Xenopus tropicalis: one gene and its partners. The protein of the gene in region 4 interacts with the protein of the main gene of each other region in a pairwise test. Links are inferred from orthologs where the notes say so. Each region holds a gene or a part of one and is shown on either strand. Other genes may lie near its edges.

The links.
Region 1: the proteins of fundc1 (region 4) and ehhadh interact in binary tests that used the Homo sapiens proteins (3 or more experiments, as listed by UniProt). The two-hybrid records come from large-scale screens. The link is inferred for Xenopus tropicalis from reciprocal best matches to the Homo sapiens genes FUNDC1 and EHHADH.
Region 2: the proteins of fundc1 (region 4) and tufm interact in binary tests that used the Homo sapiens proteins (3 or more experiments, as listed by UniProt). The two-hybrid records come from large-scale screens. The link is inferred for Xenopus tropicalis from reciprocal best matches to the Homo sapiens genes FUNDC1 and TUFM.
Region 3: the proteins of fundc1 (region 4) and yes1 interact in binary tests that used the Homo sapiens proteins (3 or more experiments, as listed by UniProt). The two-hybrid records come from large-scale screens. The link is inferred for Xenopus tropicalis from reciprocal best matches to the Homo sapiens genes FUNDC1 and YES1.

What each region holds. Positions count from the first base shown.
Region 1 is NC_030685.2:54,569,589-54,574,924, reverse strand, and holds the start of ehhadh (peroxisomal bifunctional enzyme), read right to left. Parts: upstream 3,188-5,336; 5' UTR 3,127-3,187; coding exon 3,053-3,126; intron 1,425-3,052; coding exon 1,321-1,424; intron 1,220-1,320; coding exon 1,047-1,219; intron 244-1,046; coding exon 132-243; intron 1-131. UniProt on the Homo sapiens protein: Peroxisomal trifunctional enzyme possessing 2-enoyl-CoA hydratase, 3-hydroxyacyl-CoA dehydrogenase, and delta 3, delta 2-enoyl-CoA isomerase activities. Catalyzes two of the four reactions of the long chain fatty acids peroxisomal beta-oxidation pathway.
Region 2 is NC_030685.2:347,910-352,446, forward strand, and holds part of tufm (elongation factor Tu, mitochondrial), read right to left. Parts: intron 3,018-4,537; coding exon 2,945-3,017; intron 2,604-2,944; coding exon 2,484-2,603; intron 2,101-2,483; coding exon 2,001-2,100; intron 985-2,000; coding exon 807-984; intron 730-806; coding exon 625-729; intron 279-624; coding exon 114-278; intron 40-113; coding exon 1-39. UniProt on the Homo sapiens protein: GTP hydrolase that promotes the GTP-dependent binding of aminoacyl-tRNA to the A-site of ribosomes during protein biosynthesis. Also plays a role in the regulation of autophagy and innate immunity.
Region 3 is NC_030682.2:107,964,612-107,969,949, reverse strand, and holds the start of yes1 (tyrosine-protein kinase Yes), read right to left. Parts: upstream 3,403-5,338; 5' UTR 3,271-3,402; intron 1-3,270. UniProt on the Homo sapiens protein: Non-receptor protein tyrosine kinase that is involved in the regulation of cell growth and survival, apoptosis, cell-cell adhesion, cytoskeleton remodeling, and differentiation.
Region 4 is NC_030678.2:55,858,580-55,863,943, reverse strand, and holds the start of fundc1 (FUN14 domain-containing protein 1), read right to left. Parts: upstream 3,412-5,364; 5' UTR 3,407-3,411; coding exon 3,391-3,406; intron 1,432-3,390; coding exon 1,275-1,431; intron 851-1,274; coding exon 775-850; intron 1-774. UniProt on the Homo sapiens protein: Integral mitochondrial outer-membrane protein that mediates the formation of mitochondria-associated endoplasmic reticulum membranes (MAMs).

The DNA of each region.
Region 1 (5,336 bases), on a different chromosome or scaffold from region 4:
TGACTGGTGACATCTCAATGGCATTACTGAAACAGGACTGATATTTTAGAAGCAGAACACCAGATGGGTCTTTGGACTTTATATGGTGACAACAACTATTCTGTGTGTAAAGGGAGAAAGAAAGTGCGTACCACGGACAATAATATCCAGAGCAGCAGGAATGCCTATTAAGCGAGGCAGGCGTTGGGTTCCTCCAGCTGCTGGGAGAATTCCAATTAATACCTCCGGGAGACCCATAACAGTCTGTAAAGAGAGATCAAGATGTATTTTAACTATATATGAAGATGTTAACACTCATATACCTTCCATTTCTGATATATATTACATAACACTTCTGCTGCTGCCTCAAATCCATCTAGACCAGGAAAAAGCCACATCCAAGAGGGTTGTGGTTTGCTACTTTCACCTTTTACAGTGAAAGCCTACGGCCTAAAAATGTTTGTTTCACCTGCCCTCTGGGACTGCATTATTTGAAGAGACAAACTTTATGGTTTCCTCCCCAAGGCATAGCACTTGTAAGCCAACAAGAGAAAATTATCTGTAATTCTGTTATGAACTTTGTGCAATTAAACTTTATTTTTAAAGCAGCAGCATACAACCAGGGGTTTCTATTGGAACAGTTTGGCACAGTGCTGAGTAGCCGCATGTAGGAGCAAAATTATCAAATAGTTTGCCCATTACTATTCAGTTATTCATAATCCTTGTACATATCAGATACCAAAAGGCCACTTTAAGGGGAAATTCACACAGATGAGGACCTAATATTATTTCCAGTGTTCTTATGACAGGGAAAGTGCCAGGTATCACTTCCAAACAACAACTCCACCAAAACTAATACTGGAGCTCATTACCACAGTTTGACTATTGCTGTTATATGCTTTTATTCACTGTTGTTTGTAACCTGCCACAGCTTAGTGGCAGAGCAGGTAAACTGAAATGGTAAGAACCAGACAAAGCCAAATAGTTTTGTTGCTATGCTGACTGCGCCCAGATGGACGCCTGTCCCGCTGATCTTAACATCTTAGTAGATGCTAAAGTGACTGCACCTTTATATGTGCCACACGATAGTGGCACGATAATGCTAATTCCAGACCTCCTCCGAGAGCCACTCCTTCAATGGCAGCCACCACAGGCTTCGTGGTGCTTTCTATTTCAGCATTTATATCTTCTAAAGATACGGTTCTCCGAGCTGCAGAACTAAACTCACGGATGTCTGCTCCTGGGGCAGTAAAGAGTGTATTAGAATATGGAATCACCTATTTTAAAAAGAAAATGATAGCACAGATCCATCCAGTGACAGAAAAATAAACACAACCATACCTGCACTGAATTTTCCATTTGCTCCACACAGGACAATGGCCTCTACCGATGGGTCCTTTTTGACCTCTGCCAATTCCTTGATAAGTGCCTGACAGACAGGAGTGCTATGGCAGACAAATAAGCACAATATATGGTAGCAAATAAAAGCAAATGGTCCCTCTTTTGTTGATTTATTAGCCCAAACATATTCTCAAGGAAACACACAAATTGTACAAAAACCAACGCACCTTTAGCTAGCAGACTTCAGTTCTTTTGTGTGTTGTGTGATAGAGCCACCATATTAAAAAGAATTATTTATCAGTGAACCAGTTCACCCAGTAGCCATATTTTAATGAAATGGCAATATTTAGTCCAGCTTTACAAAAGGATATTATTGAGCCCTAGCATCTCTCAAGATTATGACTACAATATTACAGATGGAGCAGGCATTTCTTATAAGTTACTACTGAACACAGTGCATCTTTAAAACCAGCTTCATCTATACATTGCCTCTTTACAGGGAAATACACATTAAAGGTGGCCATACACGTTAAGATCCGCTCGCTTGGCGAAGTCACCAAGCAAGCGGATCTTCTCTGATATCCCCACCTATACTGGGTGAATTTAGGCTAATTCGGTCGTTTGGCCCTGGGCATAAGAACGATGGTAATGGGCGCAGTTGGTTTGGGGACCACATCAACTAGCCGATGCGGTCCCTGATCAGACTAAATTTTTTAACCTGCCCGATCGATATCTGACCGATTTCAGGCCAGATGTCGGTCGGGCAGGCCCGTCGTTGGTGCCCCTACATGGGCTGATAAGCTGCCGAATCGGTCTAAGGGACCGATATTGGCAGCTAGAATCGGCCCGTGCATGGCCACCTTAAGCCTAGATTTCACCATTTCATATTTCTTGTTCATTTCCTGCCAAAGAGATATTTACTGCAAGTTACCTTAGAGCATATTCAGGTAAAGTTGCCACTTTGTCTATTAATATATATTGCCCAGTTTATATGCTGATAAATAATTCAGCTACCAGCAATTTCTAAATTACTCTATATTTCTCAGAACTGCACTTTCTTTACCATGCACATCCCAGAAAAATACTGTCCATGAAAATGGACAGCCAAATGCTGGTAATGCAGTGCAAGCAGTGGAGGGCTGCAGTATGGAGATACCGGTCACCTTATAGAATTACTCTTCTAGAGCACTGGAAGGTACTGGGGAAACAGAGGGAGGGATGCAAAATAGGAGCCAATTATAAGGCTATTAGAAGCTTTCAGAAGGGCGCAAGCATAAAGCGCTGTGCAAAGTGCCATTTTCAGATGCAAATCACAATGTTTTTTATCCAGATTAAGAGTGTAATTGCAGGCACTCTCCAAGTGGCATATACAATCCCTTGTGCAGAATGCACCCATACACATGCAAAGTGGTGTCTATTTTGGTTAGTTTCATCATAAATTCTGAGTTATCTAAGCATGCTCAATTTTGCATTCCAAACCAGAGCATTGCACTTGCCTTAAACTTGCAAATTAGGATTTTGAGTGTTTAATCTGTATTCATAGCTACTGTGGGACTACAACTCCCAGAATTCTACAATGATCAGTGGCATTTAAGGTGTTACAGTTCAGCTACACTTAGATACAAAGGTCGAGAAAAGGCTGGTTTGTACTTCATGGTGTATTGATTCCAGTCCACCACAAACACCTATAGCTGAGGTCCCTTCCCACAACGAATCCAGCTCAACGTCTTACCTCAGCGCATTAACAGGAGGATTGTTGATTTTGATGACAGCCACTGTATGTGACAGAGTCCGTGTGGCAGCCATCGCCGCTGCTGTATAAGTACAAAGTTCAAGTGCACCTACACTTTGAAACAAGAGCCGAGAAGCCCCGCCCCTTCCCTTGATATGTAACGAGTGTTTGTTCCGACACTTGACCAATCAGTAGCTCAGTGGGTGTATCACAAATTGTGTTTGGGTAGAGAGGGAAAGCCATAGCTATGCAGTATAGCAAGAGTAGCATGCTAGTCACTAAAAGCTGCTGATGCATATTTGTGTTTGTTTTTTTCTCTTCTGTAAGGTTTAATATGAACTGCTTCAAGATTATACTAGCATGTATAAACATACTTTGGTGTGGCATATTTGCATGGCCTTGTAATGTTTAAACCCAAGTTAATGAATGGGAAAAGCTAGATTTTAGAAAATTCATTCTTGGGAGAGAAGTATACATCTGTATAGCCGATTTAACCCACTCCCACATTTAAAGAATGATCTGTACTCCACCTTCCTACCAATGCTACTATCTAAAAGATTTTTAGATAAAATTCCCAATATACTCAGATCCTATACCCTAACCTCCTAATTCCTACAACAGTTAGTATGGTACTCCTTTTCTTATCCCTGCCCAACTACAAATTGTATTCCACTTCCCCAACTTGTTTTCTTCATGTGTTAGGCCCTGATACTCTCTTTGTATATCCTTGCCCAAAAGCTTTTTATTTCCCCACTTTATTTTTCAATTTCCTGCCTCTGTGGTTCATTTATTTTTTTCTAGTCCCACTCCAGAGGAGTGGAAAGTTAAAAGGCAAGCAGAAGGCAGCACCTGTGGTTCGCCATCTTGAAATTATAATTATTCGTTCATCAGTATTGCTGCATGGAAGTGACATCACGCACCGGTGCTCACTTGCAGACGTGACGTCACATGCATGCAAAAATGCCCGAATGAAGCCGAAAAATTGCTACCTGCACAGATTTCAATATGAACTTCGGAGGGTTTCAAAAAATTCGTGAGAATGCTATTGGATAACGGAAGACAGGGAGAGAGAAGCACCACGTTCTTATGATCCCTCTGGGCTTGCATGTAAGGCGGAAATTAAAGGACATGTAAACTCCACACACAAAAATGTAATCAGTGAACAGCCTCTTTGAAATCTCTCAATACCTGCCACACTGGTTGTCCAGAGGTTAATACCGGTAGTAAGGCTGCAACATCTCCTTAATCACTTAGATTTGCATCTCCTCCTGTAACCCACTCGGCCCCCTCCCTCAGGAATTTGCTTTGGCTGTTGGCTTGTGGGCATGCTCAGTTGTTGTAAGATCAGATTACTAAACATGCCCCCTAATCTAGCAGCCAGTGAAGAGATGGCATTGCTGGTTCCCATAGAAACTCAGCTCTAGCTGTCTGCTTCAGTTTTTTTCTCCCAACCTTCTCTCCTGAGCTCAGTTCAAACACATCAGAACTTTATCAGAGATAGTTCTGCCTGTGTGCTGCTATTCGCTTTAGGAACATGTGATGGTGCTGGCAAACGGAGGAGATATATGCAGTACAACTAATGCTATTTGGGTGGGGGAGACGTGCCCAACTGATATACATTGTAGGCAAATGTAGGCTTTACATGTCCTTTAAATGCTTGACTGACAGAAAGAATCTGGCAGTGCAGTTAAATGGTGTTGTTAGCTTATACCATGGTGACCACACAGGATCAGAACTCAAATGTAAGCACATTTTCATGAACAATTGAATTTTGCAAAGACCTGAGTTACTAAGTGTTACTATTACTTTAAACCTCTAGTTACACTACTACGCATTTACCACTTAGCAGCCCTGTACTGTAGGGGTTTAGTTGCTAGCCATTGGGAAAATGATGTTGACCCCAGTCTGAAGATTGTCCAAACAGGCAAAAAAGCCCCATGGGGGACTAGTGTTAACTGGCTCATTTATGACTATAGTGCATGGTGCAAAGTGCACTTTTCATACTCAAATTCCAGCAGCATTGCAGCATTTTTTCAGAGTGGGATGTTGAGGCTATTCTCACAATACACATCCAGGTGTGCACTACCATGTAACTTCTCAGAGCAGGCTGGGCTCGTGAGTGCAAGGGGCATGTATAGCCACAATTTCCGTTTACAAATAGTGTCATTGCGCTCCAGTTTAGTGCTCCACTATTCAAATATGAGCTTCATAATCCATATTATGCCCCAGCTAGGTCTGCAGTCCTGACTCCTGAGACAGCTGGCTTTGATAGCGAAAGGCAAAA
Region 2 (4,537 bases), on a different chromosome or scaffold from region 4:
TGTCATGATGGAGTTCAGCCCAATGTCGGGGTTCCGGTTCTGTAACATTTGGGTTTCAGTCAGACAGAACCAAATACTAATGAGAGGCCCCCCAGCCGGCAGGAAACACTTACCTCCAGCGCGCAGAGGGCGGAGCCAGTGATAATGGGCGTGTTCTCACCGTCGTATCCGAACTCAGTCAGAAGCTCCCGGACCTCCAGCTCCACCAGGTCCAACATCTCCTTGTCGTCCACCGCGTCGGCCTTATTTATGTACACCACGATGTTGGTCACGCCGATCTGCAACGGGCAGGGGGTCAGCAGCGCCGGGGTGCGGGGGGTATCAGGGTATGTGCGGGGGGGGTACACAAGGGTATGTATATGTGCGGGGGGAGAGGGGTACACAAGGGTATGTATATGTGCAGGGGGGCAACACAAGGGTATCAGGGTATGTGCGGGGGGAGAGGGGTACACAGGGTATGTATATGTGCAGGGGGAGCACACAGGGTATCAGGGTATGTGCGGGGGGCGAGGGGTACACAAGGGTATGTATATGTGCAGGGGGAGCACACAAGGGTATCAGGGTATGTGCGGGGGGAGAGGGGTACACAAGGGTATGTATATGTGCGGGGGGGCACACACTTGCCTGTTTGGCCAGCAGGAGGTGCTCCCGTGTCTGGGGCATCTGCCCATCGGTGGCAGCGACTACCAGGATACAGCCGTCCATCTGCGACGTCCCCGTGATCATGTTCTGCTCGGGGCAAATAACAGTCAGGGCAGGTGGGCACATGGGGTTCTCTAGCCAATCAGCCACAGTCACACACTCACCTTGACATAGTCGGCGTGCCCGGGGCAGTCTGTGTGCGCGTAGTGGCGGTTGGCCGTGGCATATTCCACGTGGGAGGCATTGATAGTGATGCCCCGCGCCTTCTCTTCCGGGGCATTGTCTATCTCCTCGTACTTCTTGAACTGGGCGCCCCCCGCCTCCGCCAGGACTGGAACCAATCAGAGCAGGAGTTTATAGAACTTTCATAAAACACCATTGTACTGTACTGAGCCACCCGCAGGTCTATAGAGAGGGCAGCAGCCCCACAGGTACAGAGTGTTTAGCGGAGTGGACTGGGGGCAGGAGCCGAGACACTGGTGGGGCAGGAGGTGAGACACTGGCGGGGCAATAGCGGGGCAGGAGCCGAGACACTGGCGGGGCAATAGCGGGGCAGGAGCCGAGACACTGGCGGGGCAATAGCGGGGCAGGAGGCGAGACACTGGGAAGGAACAGGGCAGGAGCGGAGATGAGAAATGGGATGGCCAGTACCCGCCTCACTCCCACTAGCCTGCCTGGCACAGGGGAACGGCCAGTACCCGCCTCACTCCCACTAGCCTGCCTGGCACAGGGGAACGGCCAGTACCCGCCTCACTCCCACCAGCCTGCCTGGCACAGGGGAACGGCCAGTACCCGCCTCACTCCCACTAGCCTGCCTGGGAACCACAGGGGAACGGCCAGTACCCGCCTCACTCCCACTAGCCTGCCTGGCACAGGGGAACGGCCCACTACCCGCCTCACTCCCACTAGCCTGCCTGGCACAGGGGAACGGCCACTACCCGCCTCACTCCCACTAGCCTGCCTGGCACAGGGGAACGGCCACTAACCGCCTGCACCTCACCTAGCGCTGTCCTGGCACAGGAGTGGGAAACGGGGCAAGTACATTTGGCCATGGACTTGTGAGACCCTCACTCCCACCAGCCTGTCACCATGGCATCAAGGGGGAAGCGGGCCAGTACGTCGCGCTCACTTCCGCACCCGATAGCCTGCCTGGCACAGGGGAACGAGGCGGCTCAGTATCATCCCGCGCTCACTCCACAAGCCCTGCTGGCACAGGGGAACAGTTGATTGGGTACCCTAGTATCACTTGCGGCCTCACTCTCACTAGCCTTGCGCCTTGGCACAGGGGAACGGGCACTGTTACCCGTCTCACTACCGCACTAGCCTGCCTCGGCACGGGAAGCGGCCGAGTGACTAACCGCACGGCACTGATCACGCTGACCCACATAGCTCTGCCTTGGCACAGGGGGAAGCGAGCAGTACTCCGCCGCCTTCGACTCTCACCGCAGATCTCCATGCCTGGCACAGGGGAACACAGCAGTACCATCAGGCGCCCTCACTCCAGACCAGCCTGCCTGGCACAGGGGGAAAGGCTCAGTGACGGGCGCAACCTCACCTGGCCCACGACGCTGCACTGGCAACAGGGGAGACGGGGCCAGTAGGGCGCCCGCACTCACTCCCACCCAGCCTCGCCTGGCACGAGGGTGAACGAGGCCAGTAAACCAAGCTCACTCCCACTCAGCCCGCCACTGGCACAGGGGACGTCGGCCAAGTACTGCGCCTTGCACTCACCTCACTAGCCTGCCTGGCAACAAGGGGAAACTGGCAGTAGCTGCCTGCACTCTGCGACTAGCGAGCTGGCCTGGCACAGGGGAAGTGCGGCCTATACCGTGCGGCCTCACTCCCGACCAGCCTGCCTGGCCCAGGGGAACGCAGTCGCCTCACACTATCCCACCAGCACGCCTGCCTGGACAGCAGGAGGAACGGCGCAGTACCCGCGCTCACTCTCACTATGTCACTGCCTGGCACAGGGGAACAGAAGGCGCAGTACGCTCACGCCTCAACTCTCCACATAGCACTGCCATTGGCCCACAGGGATACGGCCCCAGTAACCCGCCTTTCACTCATCACCTTTACGCCTGCCTTGGCAGCCGGGGAAGCGGCCACGTAGACCGCCACTCAGAGGCTCACTACTCACTAGCACTGACCTGGCACCAGGGGAACGGCCGATAAACCCCGGGGCCTCCCTCCCAGACTTATCTCTATGAGGTAATGGCAGCTGTCAGGGTGGATCCTTGGCATGATCCCCACATGCACAATGGCTCGCACCTGGACGATGCTGCGCTTGTCCCTAACTACGATTAAGTCTTCTTGGCCTCTGTGGCATATGCCCGGAACAGCAGGGGGCACCAGCGGGCAGCAGGACTGGGCCGGGACTATGGGAGAGAGGAGTAAAGGTCATGAACGCTCGAATGGAACCATGCATCATGTACATGGATGTGCTGTGCCAAATACTAACGTCCAAGCCGCGACCTTAGCAGAGTGCAGGTTATCTGTCAGAACACAACCCAAACGACCACACAGATCCTCGACAGAAGACATAGCACAAGAATGACGCACCACCTCAAACCCGACCCGCACCGGCCTCGCCGAAACCTCCGGACCACGGACCGGACCTGCCGACGCAACGACACAGCCACCTGACCGACCCTGCAGCGCGCAAACTGACCCGCACACCGACCTGGCAACCCTAAAGCTGACCCACATCTGTGGATCCGACTGCACCAAACTGACCCGCCACCAAACCCACGGCAACTCGGCACGTGCGCCCAGCAACTTACACCCACGCACGGGGCAGCAAACCTATCCGCGAGCTACGTACAAAACTACGCGGCACTGCGCACCCCAACGGCCACCCCCACCGCTGCGCACGAACACCCCCCACCGGCCATGTCGCGCAAATCCTCATGACGGCCGCATAACCGGCCTGCGCTCCAAAACATCCCGCAACCAGGACTGCGCGCTCCAAAACCACACTTCGTCACCCCAAAATCATACTACCCCCACAGCGACCTTCGCAGACCTTCGAAACTGACTGCCGCACGGACCTGCGCGCCAAGATCACCACACAGTCCACACCGAAGCCCTTACCAATGCAGGCACAAGGTAGGTACGCGCCCCAAACCATAGCCCACAACCTGACCCGATAGACCCAAAACCTACCCACCCCCTCGACCCGTGCCGCAAGGACCTCCCGCACTATTCTGACACCTTACCCACGCACAGAAGCACCAAACGTACCCGCACCGACACCTTACCACGGCTGCGGAACCAACTACCGCACCGACCCTTACCCACCCCGCGCACCGAAACTACGCACGGCGACCCGTGCCCAAACGTAACCCACACCGACCGTGCCAAACCTACCACACACCGAGACTCGCGTGCCCAACGCTACCCACACCGACCGTGGCCCAAACCTACCACCAACCGACCCGTGCACAGACTACCCACAAACGCGGCGGACCCGTTGGCCAAACTACCCCACACCGGACGCCGTGCCCAACCCGCAGCCCAAGTTACGCTACCGCACGACCCTTACCACACCCGCGCCCAAACGGTACCCCTAAAACAACGCCCGGCCCAAACCTACCCACACCGAGAGCCCCTACCAGCCCGCCAACCTACCACCCGCACCGGACGCTTACCCACCCGCGCCCAAACCTACCCACAGACGAGACGTGCGCCAACACCTACCCACACGACCGCGTGCCCACCCGCCACAGCAAACCTACCCGCACCGACCCACTTACCCAGATCACCCGCGCAAACCTACCCACAACCCAACCCTTACCACCCGTGCCCAAACCTACCGCCGCGACTTACCACCTGAGCAACCAACCACCCACAACAGACCCTTACCACACCCGCGCCCAACCTACCCGCACCGACCCTT
Region 3 (5,338 bases), on a different chromosome or scaffold from region 4:
GATTCCAATTGGTCAAGTTTAAAAATCCTGTAGGGCCGAGGACCGCATTGGCTCACTGATGAGGCCCACACCCTGACAGCGTGTGTCCCCACTGCTGTGATCTGATAGTTTGGCCTGATCAGACCAGCCCCATACTGCCTTAAGGTGGGGACATCAGACAGATCCCATCATATGGTGAGGTCGCCAAACAAGCTCATCTTTCAATATGTGGCAACCTTAAGTTGGCAAGTAATCATTAAGACAGTGGTTGGGGTACTGGCCCTTTCCAGGCCAAAAAGCACTCTGAGTGTTTGGCACTGAAAAATGCCATTACCTACTCTGTTGCATTTTCCCTATTTGCGTAAATGGGCAACATGGGGGGGGGGGGGGGTTCAGGCACTCTTCTCCCAGATGAGACCTGCCAGCAGAGGATATACCCCTTTCAATAGCCTTTATACATTTCACAAAGATTTCAACATTATTTTGCCCTTGGGCTACAACTCATTGTAGTGTAATATAAATGGGGCACAGCTGAAAGACTGAAAAGGCAGCTGTCTCCATACTGTAAGAACAAAGAAACCAATCCTTGGAAATTAGTGTCTGCAGCAAAGTTACCTGTATAAAAGATAATTTTTATTTTTTCTATTTGCATTTAGTTTTGCTTTATTGTTTTGCTGCTTAGTGATAACTTTACAGATGTACTGTAGAATATTTAATCTGTAAGGATATGTTAGAAAGGGGGCAACAGTACATGAGTACATGGTCACATACTAATATATATTAGTGTGTACTGTAAACTTAATTAAGTCAAAAACCCATACAAATATTTGTAATTTGTTGTCTTCAATCAAACTCTGCGTAAAAAGAGACCAGTGATTCTTTGAAAGCAGTTGTTCTCAGCTGTGACCAGACAGGACAGCAGTTCACTTGTATGCATGAATGGGGGGGGAATTTATGAATGAATTCCTTTCCTCTTCCTTCTCTGTGACTATTCATGTGGAAGTGGGTCAAAAGCAGGATTACGGATTTATTTTCTCTCCAAACACACAAGCCTTTTTAACCTATTAAAAGCCAATGCCCTACACTAATACTTAATTGAAATAGGACACAGTGGGGTTGCGTGATGACTCTATAAGTAGTCACCCTCTGTTAGACAGGGCCAAAATAACGAGTGTCATCAAGGCAACAACAGTGAGGGTATAAACGTATTATATAACTGCAAGCGGTGTTTATACTGCTGTCCATAACTCCAAAATGTGCATGTTTGGATGGAAATAAGATCATTTTAGTGGCTCTAAGCACTGCACAAACTGCAGCTATGTATCTGCTTCCCACTGCTACCTTTATTAGGGATTGTAAAGCATAGGGGAACCTAGTACAGGTATTGGACCTGTTGTCCAGAATGCTTGGGACCTGGGGCTTTCCAGATAAGGGATCTTTCTGTAATTTGGATCTCAATACTTTAAGTCTACTAAAAAATCATTTAAACAAACATCATTTAAACCCAACAGGTAGTTTTGCCTCCAATAAGAATTAATTATATCTTAGTTGGGATCAAGTACAAGGTACTGTTTTATTATTACAGAGAAAAGAAAATCAGTTTTAAAAATTAGAATTTTTTTTATTGGGAGATGGCCTCCGTAATTCAAAACTTTCTGGATAACAGGTCTCCAGATAAGGGATCCTATACCTGTACAGTACATGACCTTCTAAATGTGACCCAGGAGCAGTTTTAACACAGCTTTCTCACCAACATTTCAAGCAATATTGCCCAGCACTTTAAAAACTAAAAAGGGATGTTCATCTTTAAATAAATTTTTAGAATGTTATAAAATGTCCTATTCCAGCTGGTCTTAATTTTTTATTTTTTTGATAATTTGCCGCCTTCTTCAACCACTTTACCACTTTCATATGGGGGTCACTGACCCCAGAAGTAAAAAGCTATAGTTTTATTGCTAGTTCTTATTCTTTATATTTGTAATCAAGCTCTCTCCTATTCATCTTTAAGTCTCTCTTTCAAACTGGGATTCAAAATAGGCCCTGGCATATGAAATACACAGAGGCCCAAACAGCCACCAGCCCAATAAATAGGGTAAATCAGACCCCAATGATCAGATAGCTGATGAAACTCCAACCTGGAGAGCTGATGAACAAAAGGCTTAATGATTTAAAAACTAAAGCCAATTTGTCTCATAATATCACTATCTACCAAGTATTCAAAGGTGAACTACCCCTTTAAAGGGATGGTTCCTCTTTAAGTTAACTTTTAGTATGTTAAAGAATGCCCTATTCCTGGCAACTTCACAATTGGTTTTCATCATTTTTTTAAAGTTTTTGAATTAGTTGCCACTCTTCTGCCCTTTTTTCAGATTTTAAATGGGAGTCACTGACCTTAGCAGCCAAAAATAATTTAATTGCTCCGTGTGGCAAAGATTTTATTGCTATTGTTTCTTTGCATTACTTATCTTTCTATGCAGGCCCTCTCCTATTTATATTCCTGTCTCTTGATAAAGCCACTGCCAGGGTAAAGACCTAGCAACCACATCAGTCATTATAATACTAAACTAAATATGTGTTGAACAAAAAGCTAAATAACTGAAACTATGAAAAATGAAGACCAATTGCAAATTGTCTCAGAATATCAAGGCTGGAATTCAGAAGAATCACTGCAAGCCACAGGCCTTTATACTGTAGCCCAGGCCTTGTAGCAACCTACTAACACACCTGCTTATGGCCTCATAAGGTGACAGCACACCAAAGGAACAAATCAGAAGTGACAGCAGGGTAAAGGAGTGAGCAGAAGTTTGTTTGTGTGATCTCCAGGCACAAGCATGACACAAGCACCTCTATGAGCCAGCCCCATCTGCACTGAGGATATTGTTTTTCCTAAGGGCCAGCTCAGGAAGGAAGAGTGGGGAAGGGCTGGGATGCACAGGCCTAGGAGTGGGATTTCCCCAATCACAGCAGTTAAAGGACAGAGGAAATAAGTCAGCAAATGCCAGCAGAGTCCATCCCTCTAGTTATTGCTGAACTACAACTCTCAGTGGAAGTTGTAGCCTCTCAACAGCTGATGGACCACAGGGACAACCTCCATACCTTTGACCACCTGGGCTGGCAAACAAAACAGAAGTACAAGAGGCCTCAAGCAAACTGACCCCCCAGGGTACATATAGTGGCAGCAAAACTGGAAAGGAAATATTGCTTTTTGGTTCCAGGAATGTTACCCCCCCCACGCCTCACCTTATGGCTGCCCTGAGGCAAATCCCCACACTGAGAGTGAGCGCCACTTACCTGCCTATATCTCTCTATACTCCAGGAGACTCATGTAAGTTCCTTTTCCTCCTGAAATGAACGATAAGCAGCCGGCAGCGCAGACTTTCTCTCCCGTGTCCCTATGATGGCAGAGAGGCGCTAAGGAGAGTGCAGGACGGGCCGGAGGAGCTGCCTGAGCCTCTCTCTCATTCCATGTTGTCTATGGGCACACGCTCATCCCTTTCCCCCTCCTACTCCGGGAAATCACGGGCTGACACATCCAGGGTCTGCTCCCTCAGCCTCTCCCTCAGCCTCTCCCAGCCCCGCTCCTAGTTCCTTTGCTCTCAAACAGCGAGAGGAAGAACACGATGAAGCAACTGCTCCAGCAGGAAGTGCGAAGGCAGGAAAATACAGGAGAGCAAGCGGTGGCAAGGTGCAAACTTACTGGGTGGTGCTTTTGCTGTTAGGAGCGCACATCCCCCTCCTCTTCTTGTGCGTGGTTTGCTCCCAGCTCCATGGGAAGAGGAGGAGGGGCACCTGAGCTGGAGATAAAGCGTGTGCTGTGCAACATGGCTGTCTTCCTCACAGGGCAGCTAGGCTATCTCCAGCTGTCACACAATCCCCCCTCTTCTCATACTGAAATCTGTCTCCCAAATACTGCTGAATAATGGCTTTAAAGTTGGTCTCTTATTTGGCCAGGTTCTTATTCGGACATTGTAGTTGGTTTGTAAATAAGTAACTGGTGTTTTAAGGTATTAAATTACTATGGGTCACGGATTTAAAAGTTAACATTCATAGACAGAGTTGCTCTATGTAAACTACAGCCTGTTTTAGCCTGGCCCAACACAGTCCTGGGCAGGAAAAGTGGCACCAAAGTGGCAATAGTTTCTTATTTAGTTCAGTGAATCTGTAATTAATTGTCTAAAGGGTTAATCACCTTGGGCCACTAATTTAAACCTATATATTTATAGAAAAGGAATGCACCGTTTCTTACCTTGCCCAAAATGGTTCTAGTAAGGAAAAGTGGCGTGGAAGTGGGCACGTGCAAATCTGCCTTTTTGAATAACAAGAATGCTGAAGGGGTTAAATGACTGGGCCACTAATTGAAACCTATATATTTGCAGACAAGGATTCCCTACATTAGATATATCCCGTTCCAGCCTGACCCTGTTCTGGGCAATTAAAGTTGCTTGAAAGTGGTCATCTTTGCAATTCTGCCTTTTTTTTTTTTTTTTTTATAATCTCTTTATTTATCAATTTTCCAAAAAAAAAACAATTTTGCATTAATAGGTAACAATATCAGTGACATGGGTTATCGTACGTTTCATTAAGAAGGTGTTGGTTAGTGTCCGTATTCGTGGGTAATCTCTCTTATTCTGTGGACTGTCTTATTGAGAGTGTCTTGAAAGTTGTCCAGGGTTCCCAGAGTTCAAGATGTTGTTCCAGCGAGTGCAATTCTGCCTTTTTTAATATATAACATCATGTGTCGAAGGGGTTAAATAATGGTGGGCCTCTTATTTAAACCTATATATTTGCAGGCAGGGATGCCCTGTATTGTATGGACAGGAAAAGTGGCATGAAAGTGAGCAGCTTTGCAATTCTGCCTTTTTAAATAAGTAACATGGGTGCTGAAGGGGTTAAATGACTTTGGGCCACTGATTTCAAACTATAGCTATGTAGGCAGAGATGCCCTGCATTATGCACATCTTGTTCCAGCCTGGCCTGAACTGTTGGTGGGAATGAAATGGAGTACAAAATTTGGCATTATAGTGATAATGCATTTTTAATATACATAGTTACATAGTTACATAGTTACATAGGGTTGAAAAAAGACCTGTGTCCATCAAGTTCAACCCATCCAAGTAAACCCAGCACACCTAACCCACACCTACCAATCTATACACACACATACATAAACTATAAATACAACCACTAGTACTAACTGTAGATATTAGTATCACAATAGCCTTGGATATTCTGATTGATCAAGAACTCATCCAGGCCCCTCTTAAAGGCATTAACAGAATCTGCCATTACCACATCACTAGGAAGGGCATTCCATAACCTCACTGCCCTCACCGTGAAAAACCACCTACGCTGCTTCAAA
Region 4 (5,364 bases):
GCATGAGATTCGTTATCAGCAAACCTGCTATCTAGAAAGCTTCAAATTACGATAAGACCATTTCTCATTTTAATAAAATAATTTTTATTTATAAAAATGATTCCCTTTTTCTCTATAGTAATAAAACAGAACCCTGTACTTGATTGCAACCAAGATATTATTAATCCTTATTGGAGGCAAAACAATCCCATTGAGTTCAATTCATTTTTAAATTATTTTTTAGTAGTCATAAAGTACAATGATCCAAATTACAGAAAGATCCCCAGTAAGACACTAGCCATGAAGTAGGATGCATGACTGCCCAATGCCCCAGAAACCTTCTGGTGTCGTAGACAGCCTGAATGGGTTGTACAGGAAAATAGGAACTTTAAAGCAAATGTATTAAGTTACTGTGCATGAGCACTAAAACTGCACCAAAACTGTGGAGAGGACTGCTGAGCAACAGGAAATCATGGCAGAATCACTCATGAACTAGTACTCAGAGCAGGTGTCTAAGGTATTATATCCACTGAGGGTGTCGAACACATTCACACCCCCACAATGAATACTTGTCCTTTAATAGGTAACATGAGAGGAGTGTCAGCAATAGAATGGAATAAAAGTCAGAGAATAGGTATTTATTCCCCCAGGCCCAGACCATTTTTGCAATCTGCTACCCATAGTATCATTGATCACTGCAGAACTGTGTAAGGCTCCACATTTTAAGACATCACATCCTATATGTGTAAAAATCGTCACTTGCTGCCAAAAAATAAGAAAAATGTTATTTATTACCTGAAGCAAAAGGAAACCCCCACCTACTGCTGTTGCAGCAAGTTTGCCAACTTTTTGAAACAAAAATCCTGCACACCTATAAATAAAATAAACATATTTGAATACATTTAGCAGTTATATCAATATATACTCTAAGATTTCTAAGTCTGTATGATATATAAACATGCAAATCTGTGTATAAAATGCCCACAATATAGGCACATTCTATACTGTATTTGAATACATAAAAACTATCAGCAAAACTCACTTGTAATCCAGCAGCTGGATTATATTATTGAACCTTGCTGGAAACCTCTGTGATGCATCCATGCATGCATGTCTACTGAATGCGCTATGTGGCCGGGCAGCATACTGGCCCTTAAGAAAATAACTATAACCAAGAATGTTCTTAAATCCTGACTAATTTATTAAGTCTTTTTTTTTTTTTTTACAGAGTGGCACTGAACTGTTAAGAAAGAGCTAACACAACTGTAGGTATGCCTTGAAGATGCATTTCTTACCAGCCTGACACACCTCCCATGACGATTTGTGTAGCTACAGAATACTTTTCTGTAAGTGGCCCAGAATTCCGCCCAAACAAGCGGTTCCACCAATGGTGACGTCTGGCATACTCTGTTAGGTCCAACACTTCATATGATTCATCGTCACTGCTGGGCTCTAAGAAAAATTCAAACATATACTGAGAAAATGTTTCCATCTAAATGAAACTACCTATTACTATTTACTCTGTGCTCCAAAGACAAAGGAATACATAAATACTTAGGTCTATTACAGTATATTAAAGCCAGATATTATACTATACTGCACACACACATAGGTTATGTCACCCAAAATGGATTGCTGTGAATCAAAAAAAAGGGCAGCTCAGCATTCAATAGAAAATTTCTCCAGGACGGCACTTTTTTTTTTTTTTTTTTTTAACAAAAGAGGAGTGTCAAGGTAAAAAGTGATTGCATTCAGTGGGTATGCATGTAAAAAAACTGTCCCTCCATAAATACCACATACCTTTACTTTAAATTATACACCCGAGCCAGCAAAGTGTTGTGCAATAGCACAGTTGTTTTTGTCCTAGTGAATTGTGAACAGTGAATTGCCTTTATGTGTCATATCCACAGCCAAGCGCCATGAAACGTGCATAGCTTTGTCAGGGATGTTTCCTTAAAAAATATTTCTACCTGCTTACATTGGCTTTGTGGATTCCCTAAGTACTTAATATTTTACACCAGGGGGTTATAATTTTTAGTAAAGAAAAAGACCCCAAAACACAAGAAAACACAAGAACAGGTCTGGACCACAATAGGCTACAATAAATACAGTGTGCAAAGCATCATTTAGTTGTTTTTAAGGACCTGCAGAAGCTCATAAACACACCAATATTACAAACATTTGTTGGTGAACCAAGTTTATTAAAACTATATAGTGGTTTATGCAAAAGTGGGACTTGGCCCTGCTATACTGAAGCAAAAGATACAGTGTTTATTCTCAAAGTAAAAATATTTGAGCAGTGCTGAAATTCAAAAAGGATGTTGATACCAACCAGTTATAGAAATGTAATTCTTATAGTGATACCGACACTAAAAAACGACTCCTCAAAATATGAATGTACATTAAAAGTTGCCTATAGGTCATGTTGATTGATTTTCGCTGAGAGATTTGCTTTTGTAAATAATTGTTACTTGAAGTCCCTAAACCTGACTGTTTAGCCAACCTGACTGTCCCTTCTCAGCCTGTCAGTTCTAATGCTAACGGCCTCCTGCTAGACAAATATGGCAGCCCCCTTATAGGGGAACATGGGGGATCAGACAGGTTATATAAAAGCATTGGGCAAATGCTTTTATGGCAAAAATTAAGGTCATGCAAAGACAATGTTATGATAGATGTAAAAAAAGGTTTAATTTCTGGTGTCAGTATCTCTTTAAGCACAAGAAACAAGCTTTCAAAGCTATTAAGGATCTACTCCTGTACTGGGTGAAAATTGCAGTCCAACCTAAATGAAAGAAATGGGAATGCTTAGCAGGTTTCAATTATACACGTAATTGCAAATAGTCAAGTGTATCACTTTTTGCCTATGCAATTGCTATTCAAATCGGCATCTATTACTTTGTATGCCCTGGTGGGTCTAACTATTGAAACAATGTAGCAGAACCCAACTGATCTGTGGTTGGAGAAATCAGCACAAAAGTGAAAGCAAAATACAGCTTTCACCTAGAATAACACTAAAAACATTTAATCTATGGGTATATATATATATATATTTATGTGGATTAGAAGGACATTTAAGTTAAGTTAATTATGAAAATGTATCTTTAGGTTTCCATCACTATCATTGGCTCTTTCTTTCTGAGAGGTTGTTCCTCTTCTCTCTTTCCACTGCTTTATTAGCGCAATGTGGAAAAATGAACACTTTTTACGCAGTTTCACATATATCTGTCAACACTGTGTCAATTACACGCACACATGTAATTTGTAAACAAAATAATTCAGACCTTATGAAGTTAAGCACAGGCCGCCAATAAACACACGCTATGATCACACTTTCATCTAGCCAAGCTACAAGAACAATTCATTTACTCTTTGCCTTACACGGGCTCTTTCTTTAACCGGTGACCTGCTTACCTCTCCGGGCAGCCATGATTCTCTCCTCTGCTGATCTTTTTTTTTTTTTTTTCCCTATTGCAGTGACGCAATACGTCACGTACGCAGAAGGCGGGCTCACGCTCATACGTGCAGTGTAGCTCCGACACTCCCAGTTCTGTGTTGTAAAAATTGTGAAGAAGGACGGTAGTTTGTGACGCTCTCTGATAATATATCGCCGTTCTTCTATAAAACCGAGTCAAGCTGAGGAGTTCCATGTTTCCCATATGAATGATTTATAAGTAGTATGAAATTGTACTTTAACATGATTATGATGTTATAATATGATAGTATAGATCTGTTATACTAACTCTTTAGGTGCTTGTTTGCTATTCTATGCCTTGCCTGACCCATAGGACAGTGACACACAGGGAGATTAGTTGGTGTGGGCCAAATCTTTGTTGTTGCGGGCTACTAATCTCCCCGCAATACCATCCCATTGGCTAGAATGTAAATCGCTGGTGGGATGGCATACACAGCGCCGCGATTTGTTTAGGCTGCCCGAAGTTTCCTTTCAAGGCAACTTTGGCAAATCATGGCGCTGCGTATGCCATCCCACCGGTAATCTACATTCTAGCCAATGGGATGGTATTGCGGGGAGATTAGTCGCCCATCACAACGTAGATTTGTCGCGGTGCGACTAATGTCCCCATGTACCCCTGCCCTTAGGGTGAGACACATGGAGCTCTGAAAAGTTCTACCATAGTGGTAGTCCAGACGTAACAGTATTGCAAACAGCCATGCAATCCCTAGGGCAGCGGTACACGGGGAGATTAGTCACGCCGTGACAAATCTCCGTTGCGTGCGACTAATCTCTCCGATATGCCATCCCACCAACTATAATGTAAATCACCGGTGGGATGGAATACGCGGCACCGCTGTCCCCAAAGTTGCCTTGAGAGGAAACTTTGTTATCCCCTGCTGATACCTGCATCTGTGCTTAGGGTAAATGCCAACTATAAATACTAATATTAGGTAAACGATAAGTTTTTTTCTAGAGAAATGTGTTTGGGAAAGTACATCTTTCGACAGCCTCTTTATTAGAGAATAAAGAAAATGGAAATAGAAAGTTTTTTTTTTTCCCAGAAAAGATGTAATTCCTTTTTTCTACATAAACCCAATCACTAAACACCACTCAAACTGACTAAAAAGCTTGTTTAAAGAAAGTTTAAGGAAGTTGTTGTAAAATTAACAAGTTGCCAGAAAAGATGGAGATAAAATACTGGAAATAATGCAGAGCTGGAAATTGATTAAATAATGTAGCAAATAAACAGAAGAAAGAAGGTGTTAATAGCTCTGTTCAGTTCACTTGTGAATTATTCACATTGGAAATATTGACAAGTGATCAGCAAAGGTAAAAGATGGTTTCCTAACTGAATAAACCTGAAAAAATGGACAGAAGGATCACAAGGAGATTAAGTAATGTGGTCCTCGGACAGTTTCAACTATGGGGCTGGGCATTTATTGGAGAATGTGTTTGTTCTCCTGGATACTCATGGAAGCTCAACTTGAAAACCCATTAGGTTGAAATTTTGGGTGAGTTTGTTTATACCCTGGATACCCCTTCATGTTTAACAGGATAACTGGTACAGGTATAGGACCTATTATCCAGAATGCTCGGGACCAAGGGTATTCCGGATAAGGGGTCTTCCCGTAATATGGATCTCCATACCTTAAGCCTACTAAAAAATCAATAAAACTTTAATCAAACCCAACAGGATTGTTTTGCATCCAATAAGGATTATTTATATCTTAGTTGGGATCAATTACATGGTACTGTTTTATTACTACAGAGAAAAAGGAAATCAGTTTTAAAATTCTGAATTATTTGATTAAAATGGAGTCTATGGGAGATGGGCTTTCCGTAATTCGGAGCTTTCTGGATAACGGGTTTCCGGATAAGGGGTCCGATACCTGTACCAGTTTTTTCCATATATCTGTAAACCTGTTATGAAC